Nothobranchius furzeri: one gene and its partners. The protein of the gene in region 1 purifies or fractionates together with the protein of each later gene. This does not show direct contact. Links are inferred from orthologs where the notes say so. Each region holds a gene or a part of one and is shown on either strand. Other genes may lie near its edges. The genes, in order: pip4k2aa, stk11 and ahcyl1.

Evidence for each region.
Region 2: the proteins of pip4k2aa (region 1) and stk11 purify together in Homo sapiens (affinity purification with mass spectrometry; 3 studies listed by BioGRID and IntAct, counting the BioPlex papers as one, with this or other methods). This does not show direct contact. The link is inferred for Nothobranchius furzeri from reciprocal best matches to the Homo sapiens genes PIP4K2A and STK11.
Region 3: the proteins of pip4k2aa (region 1) and ahcyl1 purify together in Homo sapiens (co-immunoprecipitation; 3 studies listed by BioGRID and IntAct, counting the BioPlex papers as one, with this or other methods). This does not show direct contact. The link is inferred for Nothobranchius furzeri from reciprocal best matches to the Homo sapiens genes PIP4K2A and AHCYL1.

What each region holds. Positions count from the first base shown.
Region 1 is NC_091747.1:55,186,576-55,190,230, reverse strand, and holds part of pip4k2aa (phosphatidylinositol 5-phosphate 4-kinase type-2 alpha), read left to right. Parts: intron 1-1,231; coding exon 1,232-1,348; intron 1,349-3,655. UniProt on the Homo sapiens protein: Catalyzes the phosphorylation of phosphatidylinositol 5-phosphate (PtdIns5P) on the fourth hydroxyl of the myo-inositol ring, to form phosphatidylinositol 4,5-bisphosphate (PtdIns(4,5)P2). Has both ATP- and GTP-dependent kinase activities.
Region 2 is NC_091751.1:56,737,863-56,742,315, reverse strand, and holds the start of stk11 (serine/threonine-protein kinase STK11), read left to right. Parts: upstream 1-1,567; 5' UTR 1,568-2,325; intron 2,326-3,209; 5' UTR 3,210-3,898; coding exon 3,899-4,182; intron 4,183-4,453. Other genes in the region: sugp1 (SURP and G-patch domain-containing protein 1), read left to right, coding at 1-117, 292-318. UniProt on the Homo sapiens protein: Tumor suppressor serine/threonine-protein kinase that controls the activity of AMP-activated protein kinase (AMPK) family members, thereby playing a role in various processes such as cell metabolism, cell polarity, apoptosis and DNA damage response.
Region 3 is NC_091755.1:28,356,481-28,359,030, reverse strand, and holds the end of ahcyl1 (S-adenosylhomocysteine hydrolase-like protein 1), read left to right. Parts: intron 1-1,014; coding exon 1,015-1,113; intron 1,114-1,228; coding exon 1,229-1,297; intron 1,298-1,385; coding exon 1,386-1,464; intron 1,465-1,565; coding exon 1,566-1,686; intron 1,687-1,781; coding exon 1,782-1,788; 3' UTR 1,789-1,955; downstream 1,956-2,550. UniProt on the Homo sapiens protein: Multifaceted cellular regulator which coordinates several essential cellular functions including regulation of epithelial HCO3(-) and fluid secretion, mRNA processing and DNA replication.

The DNA of each region.
Region 1 (3,655 bases):
AATTCACGATCTGGTCCTTTCTGTCCTCTCTGCAGATGAGGGCGCTTGGTTCTAATATTGTGAAGCGAATGAGTGTGCAGCCTTGGTATTTTTGTCTCCCTTTCATTAGAAACGCTAGAACTTTAGATGTAGCTCACCTGCTCAGGGTTGTAGAAAATAAATGGACTTAGTGGTTTCCTTGCTTGTCTGAGGCTGAGATCCTTCCCCTTTAGAGATTCACCACCACTGTGGCAACTTTACGGCAGGAAAGAGAATAATTATGAAAAACATCACTCAGAGCACCTTTTAATAAAGTATGTATAGTCTTGCATATAAGCCCTCCCCGTGCACTTTGAATTGAGCACCGCTCAGCATTAGCTTACGTACAGATGTGGAGCATGCACACACGTTGGTGGGCGCACCTAGACTGATTCAGAGTTGGTGACATTTCTTATTAACATATGTTTAAAAATCGTGAAAAACAACATAACAAAAATAATTGCAAATGTTTTAATTGTCCGGATAGAGATGCACATTTACAAGCGAGAGGCATTGCTTCCAGCAAAAATCACAGACGTATGGGAGCTTAAAGGGGCCACATCATGGAAAATCCACTGTTTGGAGCTTTTTACTTTTTAATATTATTTCCTCATGAAAAAAACTCAAACGCGTTTTTGGCTGCATTCATGCATGTTCCTGTCTCAGCTGCATATTTTGAGTTTTACTTTGAAAATCCTGTAAAGCCTCAGTGGAAACTAGTCTCGCCATGAGGCGCAGCTAGCTGCCCTATGGGAAACTAAGAGTTTTATTTCCAAGTTGAAATTTAGGCTGATGAAAATAACTCGTCTTTAAGATAAATCACATCTCAATAGTGCCAACGGTGATATTTAATATTGGCCTACATTTGCTTCCAATGGTTTAAAATGACATGATATTGAACCTTTAAGGTGCAGTACATTGTTTCACCTCTAGATGGTGTCCTCTGAGAAAAAACTTCTGATATCTGCTTTAATTTTCAACATTGGAATTATTTTATAGTTTAAAATCGTGCCAAAGAGCAAACTTACACATGTATTTACACAAAATCAGGCTGTTATACTTGATGATCGATTTATCGCCCTTTCCTAACCCTTCTTTAAAAAAAAGGCAGGGAAAAAAGATTTATGCTCTGTTACTTTTGCTACACTTTGCCTTCCAACTTCCTTCCTCTTTCCTTTCTTCTCTCCTCTCCCTTACTCCCCCCTTTTTCTAGCAGCCTCCCCCATCAGAGGATGTGCCCCCGCGGCCCAAATCTGGTAACGTTCAGCAAAGGCTGCAAACTCTGCGGATTGCCACGCGCTTTTACTGCGCCATGAAACACGTAAGAGATGTAAGAGAACCAGGGCTCATATCAGGCATGATCTATTAAAAACACTCTTCATTTTATTGCAACATACACAGATTTCTCTTTATTTTGCTTATTTATTTTTTGCAAATCAACTTTTTTTGTTTCCACGTTTTCTCCAGAAACTGTTTTGCACACATTTCATTCATTTCCAGTCACCTATTTGCTCAGGTTATCAGTTAAAGGGGTTTATTTATTTATTTGTTTTTTTTTTTGGAGCAGCATTATGATCTGTCTTTTCTGTTTTTACGAACAGTAGTGTTATAAATGCTGCCATCACTGTTGATTCTGCACTTTTGTAGGTGTCTAAAAGGACGTGAACACAATTAAAACATGTATCTGTGAGTTGTTGTGAAACTGACCTGCTATGAAGGGTGTTTCATCTTCCTGCCTCAGATAAATACTTCTGTTTTTCTGTTTTGAATCAGTGAAGTACATCATTTGTTGTTCTAATCAGCAGAGATGGAGACTTCTGTTCACTCTGCCTCATGATGCTTCTTTTCCGTCACATTTTAAGTCTCATCTTCCAGTCATAGTTAAACATCCCATATTTACTGAGAACTGGAGGTCTATGTCTCTGTATACATGTGCTCAAGTCTGTTTGGTGGGTTTGTGCAAAGATCTGTTCTTGGTGTGTGTGTGTGAGTGAGTGTGTGTCCCGTCTGAGCTGAAGTTGTGTTGCCGCTCTCCTCCCGCTGCCATAGAAACATTGTAGCTAAACTGCAGCTGTTGCCCTGTTACCTCATTTCCTGCTCTTTGTTTATCCCCTCAGCGCTTCAGAACCAGGTCCCCGTCCCCTCCTACATAGCATCTCTGTCCCTTATAGGCTGCAGGCCCTCCTGCAGCAGCATCGTTAAATAGAAATCCAACTTCATGGACGTTAAGTCTGTTCCTCACTGGGTTTGGTACGGAAGCCTTTTGCCGTGCGATGAAATAAAAATACGGGAGCAGAATCTTGCAATAATGAGAACATTTCTTGTTAAAATGTGATAAGATTTTCTCTTTAACAAGAAACTCTCATAACGACATACAAACACAGTTTTAATGAGAATCTTTCACTTAATATATTTAATCTCAATACGGTTAAACTGGATTCTTTTGTGGCGTTCTACATAGAATGAACGAGGTAGTTATCCCAGTTCTTGGTGTTTGACATTTAGGAGGTGCAGCAGCAGCGTATGGAGGAAAACCGCCAAACAGCAGAGCTTAAATCAACAAAATACACTCACTAGCGGTAAAATCCACCATTTCTGCCACAAACACAGCGTTGACAAGGCAACATACCAGTAGCTTTTCGTGCCGATAGGTTGCGTTTAAGTTAAAGTGGGGGACACCTTGATCAAAGACAAAAAGGCATCTTGTCCCTCTGTTCCTTAGTAACGACATTCAAACATGCTGCAAGACTTGACAGTTATAAACGCGTATTACATTCATGTTATTACATGACATTTTCTTAGTAAAATGTAGGGATGGGTACCTTTGACATTTGAATCGATTCGGTACGAATTCCCGGTACCTAGGAATCGATACCGGTACTTAACAGTACCGATTTGATACTTTTGAGTGTTTATTATTTTAATTCTCTTTTATAATTAAATATATATTTTTGTCAATATATAACAATATTTGATAAATATCACGATAAATAACATTCAACTGTTTGTATTTTAACATCGTCCGTGTAGTTTTATAAGCTGATAATTAAACTGAAGCAAACATCTTTACTGTGAACTAAATTTACTGTGTATCTTCATTCCTTTTGCCGTCTTTTTTCATTTGATTTTTCCTACTGGGAAGTTAGAATTTCCAAGGAGAAAGCGAACACACCATTAGCTGACAACAATGGAAGCTAACATATCAAGCTAACGTTATCTTAAACAGTTTATTTAACTGCTGGAGCAGATTTAAACGATGATGCCTCACACTTAGATTGTTGTCACTGGTTTCATCTTCACCCAATCACCCGTTGCATTTAGTAAAGTGAAGCCAAATTTAGAGCGCGTTTATGTTCTTCTAGTCGGAAATTCTGAGTTTCGAGGAGAAAGCGAACGCACCATTAGTGAAACAGAAGCTAACATATCAAGCTAACGTTATCTTAAACATTTTATTTGCCTACCGGAGCAGATTAAGATGAGGATGTCTCATTTAGATCGTTGTCGCTGGTTTCATCATCACCCAGTTACCCATCACATTTAGAGAAGTGGACCCAAGCTTTAGCGTGCGTTCTTTCTACCATGCTGCTCTGTTTACAACTGGCTCGCAGTGAGCGATAACATAACGCTCTTGCGCATG
Region 2 (4,453 bases), on another chromosome or scaffold:
ATGAACGGAGCGGGATTAGGAATCGACCGCCCAGCTGAGCTCACAAGAAACGATGATGAGTATGACGCTTTCAGAAAGAGGATGATGCTTGCTTACCGCTTCAGGCCCAACCCGCTGGTAACATTTTTTCTTAACGTTGCTCTAATTTGCATTTGCACTCATTTGAAACTTCATATAGGATCTCGTTATCATGCAGCCACACATTTTTAATTATAGGAATTTTTTGTGTGTGGACAGAGTTTAAGTGTCCTTTGATACTATATTTGAATCTGCTGTGTTATCTTCCTGCAGAACAATCCCCGGAGGCCGTATTACTGATACAGAGGACCACTTCTAAAGCTCGTTTCTGCATCTGCCTCTTGTCTGCTCGCGCATTAATTGAACGTTTTAGCTGTGGAGATGTTTGAGTCCTACGTGTCAGAGAAGTTATTGAAATCCAAAAATTAACAACAGATTAGCTACATTTTATGTTTACCACAAAACAAAAATAACACAGCTCACGCTTTTGTTGCATTTCAGCTTTATAATGTAACGTGTTACAGTTTATAAAAACTTGTATTTAGTTTCTGTGATGATTTTACTCTCATCATTTTGCATCCTCAGAAATCTTTGCCCTCCTGACTATATAACAGTTTTGCATAAGAACACACTCTTCTGTGTAATTTGTGCATCTAGTGATGTTTTCACTGTGCTGTAATTATTGCTTCCTCTCATTGTATGCTGCAGTGATGACAATAAAAAAGATATCTTACTGAAATCTGAAATTGTTACCCAAGTCCTAACAAATGCTGACTTTAGAAAAATTTAACCTAAATCTGTTTTTGTCTTTTTCTCGTTGGTATTTTTTCATTTCTTCATTGCCGTAAAGCAGAGACGATTGGACTGGAGCGACCTGTGAGGAGGATAACAGACCAGTGAAATCAGACCTTCAGTTTGCCATTCCTTAGAGAGGTTTACATGGGATAAATATAACCCTGGAGACCCCAGCTAAGCAAGAGACACCTTTTGGCCACACCAGGAACATCTGAGGTTGATAAAGTTAAAAACATCAGTTGTAGGGGTGGCGCAAACTCACTGGGTTTTAAAGTGTTACAAAATGCAGGTTTCAATAGATACGTTTTGTTTCATTTATTTTGCCTAAATAGTTCCTAAAAATTGTCGATGAGATTTTTTGGGAGTTTGAAATCTTTAAAAATACTTTAATTTTACCATTTTATAGGTTTTGAACGTGCTTGAGTTTTTAATAAGTGCTTTCAAGTAGGAGTGCACTCAATAAATGACTGGTGATGCCAATCGCCCAACATTCAGCTGATTTGAGTCCCAAAGAGTAGATCCCCCCCTTTTAAACAGCAATAAAGTGCAAACAGATTTTCCATGCCAAATTTTTTACTTCTGGTCTTGAAATAAAATAAATTCTGGTAATTATAGTTCTTTAAGATAATGCAGATTATGCCAAAATTGATATTAGCAGGTCAGACCTGTGCAGAAATCAGCATCAGCCCTCGAAACACGAATCGGTGCATTTCTATTTGACTCTAGTTTTAGCACAATAACATTTACTTTTGCAAATAAAACAACGATTAACAAAAGGTGCTTTAATTTTAAAGGTGAAATGAACGAATTGTGGGGGAGTTTTGCAGAATTTATAAAAAATAAAATATAAAGCTGCGCCATATTATACTAAGACTGTCCTATTAGTTTTTAACTATCATTTTTCACTTATGCTTTAGTGAGTTATGAAGAAGGTCACAGATTTGAAAAAATGTTATGAATTTTTCAAAACAAAGCCCTGATCGTTTTATATTAATACCATAAATTCACATAGTTGAAACTGCAAAGGAACAAAAATGAAAGTTAGATAATTTAGTAATTTTTTACAATATACGAAAATAATGTAAATTTAAAAAAATCTGCGGAAACAACAAAATATGCAAAAGATGTTATTTTCCTGTAATTTTCTTTTTGATTATTTTTATTTTCGTCTAACTTACATTGCACTCATTTTTTAAATAAAAATAATGTATTCTTTACTGTGCGTTTTTAGGGAATTAATGACGTAAAAATAAAGCAGACAGGTCAGTTTTGTTGTTGCTCCAGAAGGGGAGGGGTGGGGAGGAGGACTTTGATTTGACGCAGTAACGTGTTGGGGCTGCTAGGGGGGGAGGTAAACAAGATGGCGACAACCTGAGAGGCAAGAGTAGCACGAATAGTGAGGAAATTTTTACTGATATTGTGTTATACTGAAGCGGAACGTTTGATTAATCGAGGACGAACACGTTAAAAGTATTTAAGCCTCACAAAGAAATAACCTTCATAAAGATTAAGGTAAGAGCCGGTTACTGTAGCTGCTTAGCTTGCTAGCTAGCAAATTGCATTGGAATCTGAGCGTCTCCGTTAGCCCGTGTTAGCTGGATCCTTCTGGTGAAATTTAAAGCTCGTTACGTTTTAGAACTGAGTTTGGTTTTATTATCAGACAAACACACTGCGATATAGTTGGATAATATCGCGCGTCTTCTTGTGAAGTTGGTTAATTGTAACGTCTGATGAAGCTTCTGCACATCATTCATCGTTAGCTACAGTTGTGTGACGACGTTTCGCTAGTCTCCCCGCACCCCCTCAGTTGGTCACCGGCCAAACAAGTTACTTTGGTTTTAAACTTTTCATGATTGTTCTAAAGGGGCACGCCGAATAAGTTGAAGTTAATACTGGAAAGCTAATTCATTCAGTCAAATTTTCTGCTAACCGCTAGCTCTAAGGTGTTCACACATTTTTGTTGTTTTTAGTTGTTTCCCCACGTTACTGTTAAACTACGGCTTATTAAGAAATACCCGAGGTTTTTTGTCCACATTTGAGCCCTTATACAAGAGGATTCTAGCTGTAATTCCTCAACCCTTTCTCAAGATGTGAATACCACCTATTTGAAAGCTCAGTTTTTGCATTTTAAGCCCAAACTCTTAAGCAAGTCCCTCAAATATGTTGTGATCAGCCAATTAAGTAGAAAACTTAACAAAACTGTGTCACAGTACTTTCTGACAAAGTTGTTTTTTTTGTTTGTATTAATGAAAAGGATCATGTTCCTGTGTCTGATCACAAGATGTTTACCCAGGTGTTTAAATATGTGTAAATAGATTTTTACTCAAATGTAATTTTGCAAAACAATCAGTGATTGTTCTGATAATTAAATATTTTTTTTTGCCCTTTTTCCTCAGACATCAGGCTGTAGAAACTGTAGTGACATGGAGGACACCTGAGGGCAGTTCAGCGTGGTGGACAGTTCAGTCGATCCCCTGGAGCCTGACTGACACCAGGGATTGGATTGATACTGCTGCATGCTTTGGTTGTCAATTTATGCCTGGATCCAATCCAACTATAAACACTTATGTGTCGGGTGGAAACTATGACATCCAGCAAGGACCTTTGACAGAAATGCTGTGCTGCAAGGCCTTGAAACAAGACTGGTTTCCTTTACCTAAAGTTGTATGGTATTAAACTATAAAACGATAGCCTAGACCGTCGGAAAAGAAAATAATAGTGTAGAATCCTTTTTTTTCCCATTTGAAGTTCTGTTTAGCTGCACTCATCAAAGACGTAGCTCATAATGCACAGTCTAAAGCACTAAATTAGCACTTGAGCCAATAGGTTCTGCACCTCTTTTAGTTTCTGTCTAAAATGAGCCCTAATTTTTACAGGTTTTAGATTTCTCTCTTACCTTTCGTCAGTTCTCAGGCTTTATTTCTCTCCTTCGCATTTTCCGCATTTTAAAACTTCTCTAATGGAAACCCTCGGTTCAGTGCTGAAAGGCTAACAGCAGATTACACCCCAGCAGCAATCATAGCCAGTTTTCAAACGTTTATTTTTTGCACGTAAGGCTTAGGCTGTGGTTGTAGAACCACCAGTCATGAGTGCCAGGGAGCTGCAGCATCTTGATTATCTAAATGAAAACGAACTTATGGAGATGGACACTTTCATTCACCGCATTGACTCTACAGAGGTGATCTATCAGCCACGGAGGAAGAGGGCAAAGCTGATTGGAAAGTATCTGATGGGAGATCTGCTAGGGGAAGGATCTTATGGCAAAGTGAAAGAAATGCTGGACTCGGAAACACTTTGTCGCAGGGCTGTGAAGATACTGAAGAAGAAAAAGCTTAGGAGGATTCCCAACGGAGAAGCCAATGTGAAAAAGTAAGTTGTTTTTATTTTTTTGTAAGCCTGTTATAGATTGTCATTCTTGGAAAAAAAAAAACTTGCAGCGCCGTAGCATCAGACCTACTACAAAGCTGGGTTATTAATTATTTTGAGTTAACACAGTTAAAAAATTAGGCTAACTTCTCTTCATATTGGTTTTTAAAACAGCACAACAATACAAACAACACTTCATGCTCAAATCATCACTTGAAAACATGATAATTTATTAATAGCTGCCTGGCAGACAACTAGCTTTATCACTGTTTTC
Region 3 (2,550 bases), on another chromosome or scaffold:
CGCGCGACAACCCGCTCAATTAACATAATTCACCGCCCAAATCCAACAGAACCTATCGGGCTGACTCGGTTCGGTCTCAGGTTATAACTCCAGTGCTCAGCCCTGCAGTACCACATAAAGGCAGAACAAAGTTTCCTACCCCGTAAATGTGGAGAACACCGCTCTGACAGATGTGGATGCTGCACTGATGCCGCCATTAAAATAACAAAACCACATTCCACTATAACTGATTATGGCTCCTCTTCTATGATGCAGAATCGTTTATGCCTGCATCTCATGCATTGATTATTTGATTATTTTCCTCAGCTCTATCTATCCTACACATCCCGGTCAGCCGTCGGGGTGGGGGGTGCACGCAGGGTTTGGGGGCCACAAAGAGAGGGCTCGCGGGCTGGACGTGGCCCGTGGGCCGCCATTTGAGGACCACTGCCATAACATGTCTGATTTTGTGAAAAAGCTTGATAAAATGTGTTTTTTAGTAGGTAAACTCCTCCCTCAGTAGAAATGAATCCACTGGGGGCAAATGGAGACCCATCTAAGATGGCGGTCGACCACTACGGCAGCTCTAATAGGCAGTGCCAGTCCATGGGGCATATATGTGTTTATGTCTGTAGGTTAACACATAAACACATTTCTAGTATTTTTTGAACTGCATACCACCTGCTGCCTTTCATGCCAAAATGATGCAGTTGTAGCTGTTTTAAGTCTTGAGAATATTATTATTCACCAAATCACTAAATATCAACTGCTAGCACTCAGAGCATGCAGTGGGAGTGACTCCCAGCTGCTAACACATCAGATTTGAGCCCAGAATCTGTATGTTTGACCAAGTTAAAGCCATTTTGTTTTTCAGAATGTTGATCAGCTTTGGTGGCCATCTTGAATTAGGGCTGACTCCACTAGTGAATCAGATCAAGGCTGATTATTGGATTAAATTAGTTTTAGATTATTATAGGTAATGTTTGTTGAAGTGTAGTATTTTTTAGATGTTTATATATATTTTTCTATCCACAGGCAAGTCTCCGCAGCCCTGAACTGACCTGGGAGAGGGTTCGCTCTCAGGTTGACCACATCATCTGGCCAGATGGAAAGAGGGTGATCCTGCTGGCAGAGGTAAACTCTCACAAAGTTTTTTTTTTCATCACCGTTGGTGAGCAACACAAAATAAAAGTTATTTTATTCCAGAAAAGCAAAATCCACAATCGTGTGTCTTCTGGACCATTTTCAGGGTCGCCTCTTAAACCTGAGCTGTTCTACGGTGCCTACTTTTGTTTTGTCCATCACTGCTACAACTCAGGTAAGAGGTCTGATCCTGCAGGAAGGAACGGGGTTTTTAAAGACATTGTGATGATTTGTAGCCATTATACGCTCTGTGTTGTCCGTAGGCCCTGGCTTTGATCGAGCTGTACAACGCTCCAGAAGGAAGATACAAACAAGATGTTTATCTTCTGCCCAAGAAAATGGGTAAGAGTTGGAGCTGCTGCTCACTGCTTCCACTTTTGAACATTACTTGAGAAAAGCACCACTCAAAGATCATATGTGTTACAATCCGTCTCTGTGATCAGACGAGTATGTGGCAAGTCTGCACCTTCCCAACTTTGACGCCCACCTGACGGAGCTTTCTGACGAGCAGGCCAAGTACATGGGGCTCAACAAGAATGGACCTTTCAAACCTAATTATTACAGGTCGGTGTCACTCTGATGCATCTTTTCACTGCTTTTTTAAAATTTATTACACAATGTTTGTGCAAAAAGCTGACGACTTTGTATTTTGTTCTCAGGTATTAGAGAGGACGTCTGGAACTCGGTGAAGGGTTCAAAGTTGGCACGGGATGAACAGAGATGTCTATTTTACTTTCAAAAATGCTACAAAACGGAGAAGTTATTTTACTTAAGCCGAATGTAACTTATTAATAGCACCTCAAAAAGTAGTTCAACATTTCAGAGTAATGCATATAGAAAGAATTTAATATATAACCAATTAACATTTTGTCTTGTCTTTGAAGAGCGGCCTGCTTGCATGTGTTGATGCGGATTAGTTTTGTTCCTTGATCGCAAAGCTGCCGATTCATTCGTTTACTCTACTTACGCACAGTGCCAAATTATGGCCGTATTTATATATAGTGGCATTGAGATTTGACAGGCACATTCCTTGAGCTGGAGTTTAGGCTGAGCCACAACAAACTTGAGTTATATGAATATTTTATATGCATGAAATTATCTCATTGAATGAATGGTGTGTGTGCTTACAGCCTCTAGTTATTTAAACAAAGTGACTGGATTTTAATATGATTTAATACCTTACCTGTGGAGCTGCAGATCACTACTGAAAGGATCATAAAACTCTGTGGTAACAAGAGATTTAGATGGATTAATGTGTGTTTTGTTTAAAGATAGCTGGCCTTCCATATTCCCCCCAAAAGGAATGTGGGAAACCTCCAAGGACAAGAGCCACAGGAGCTTTTTCCAACTACAAAAATGTCTTATTTAATCCAAGTTTCCATTTGCTCACTCACATTCCACCTGAGATCTTTGTCACTAAGCCTTCTG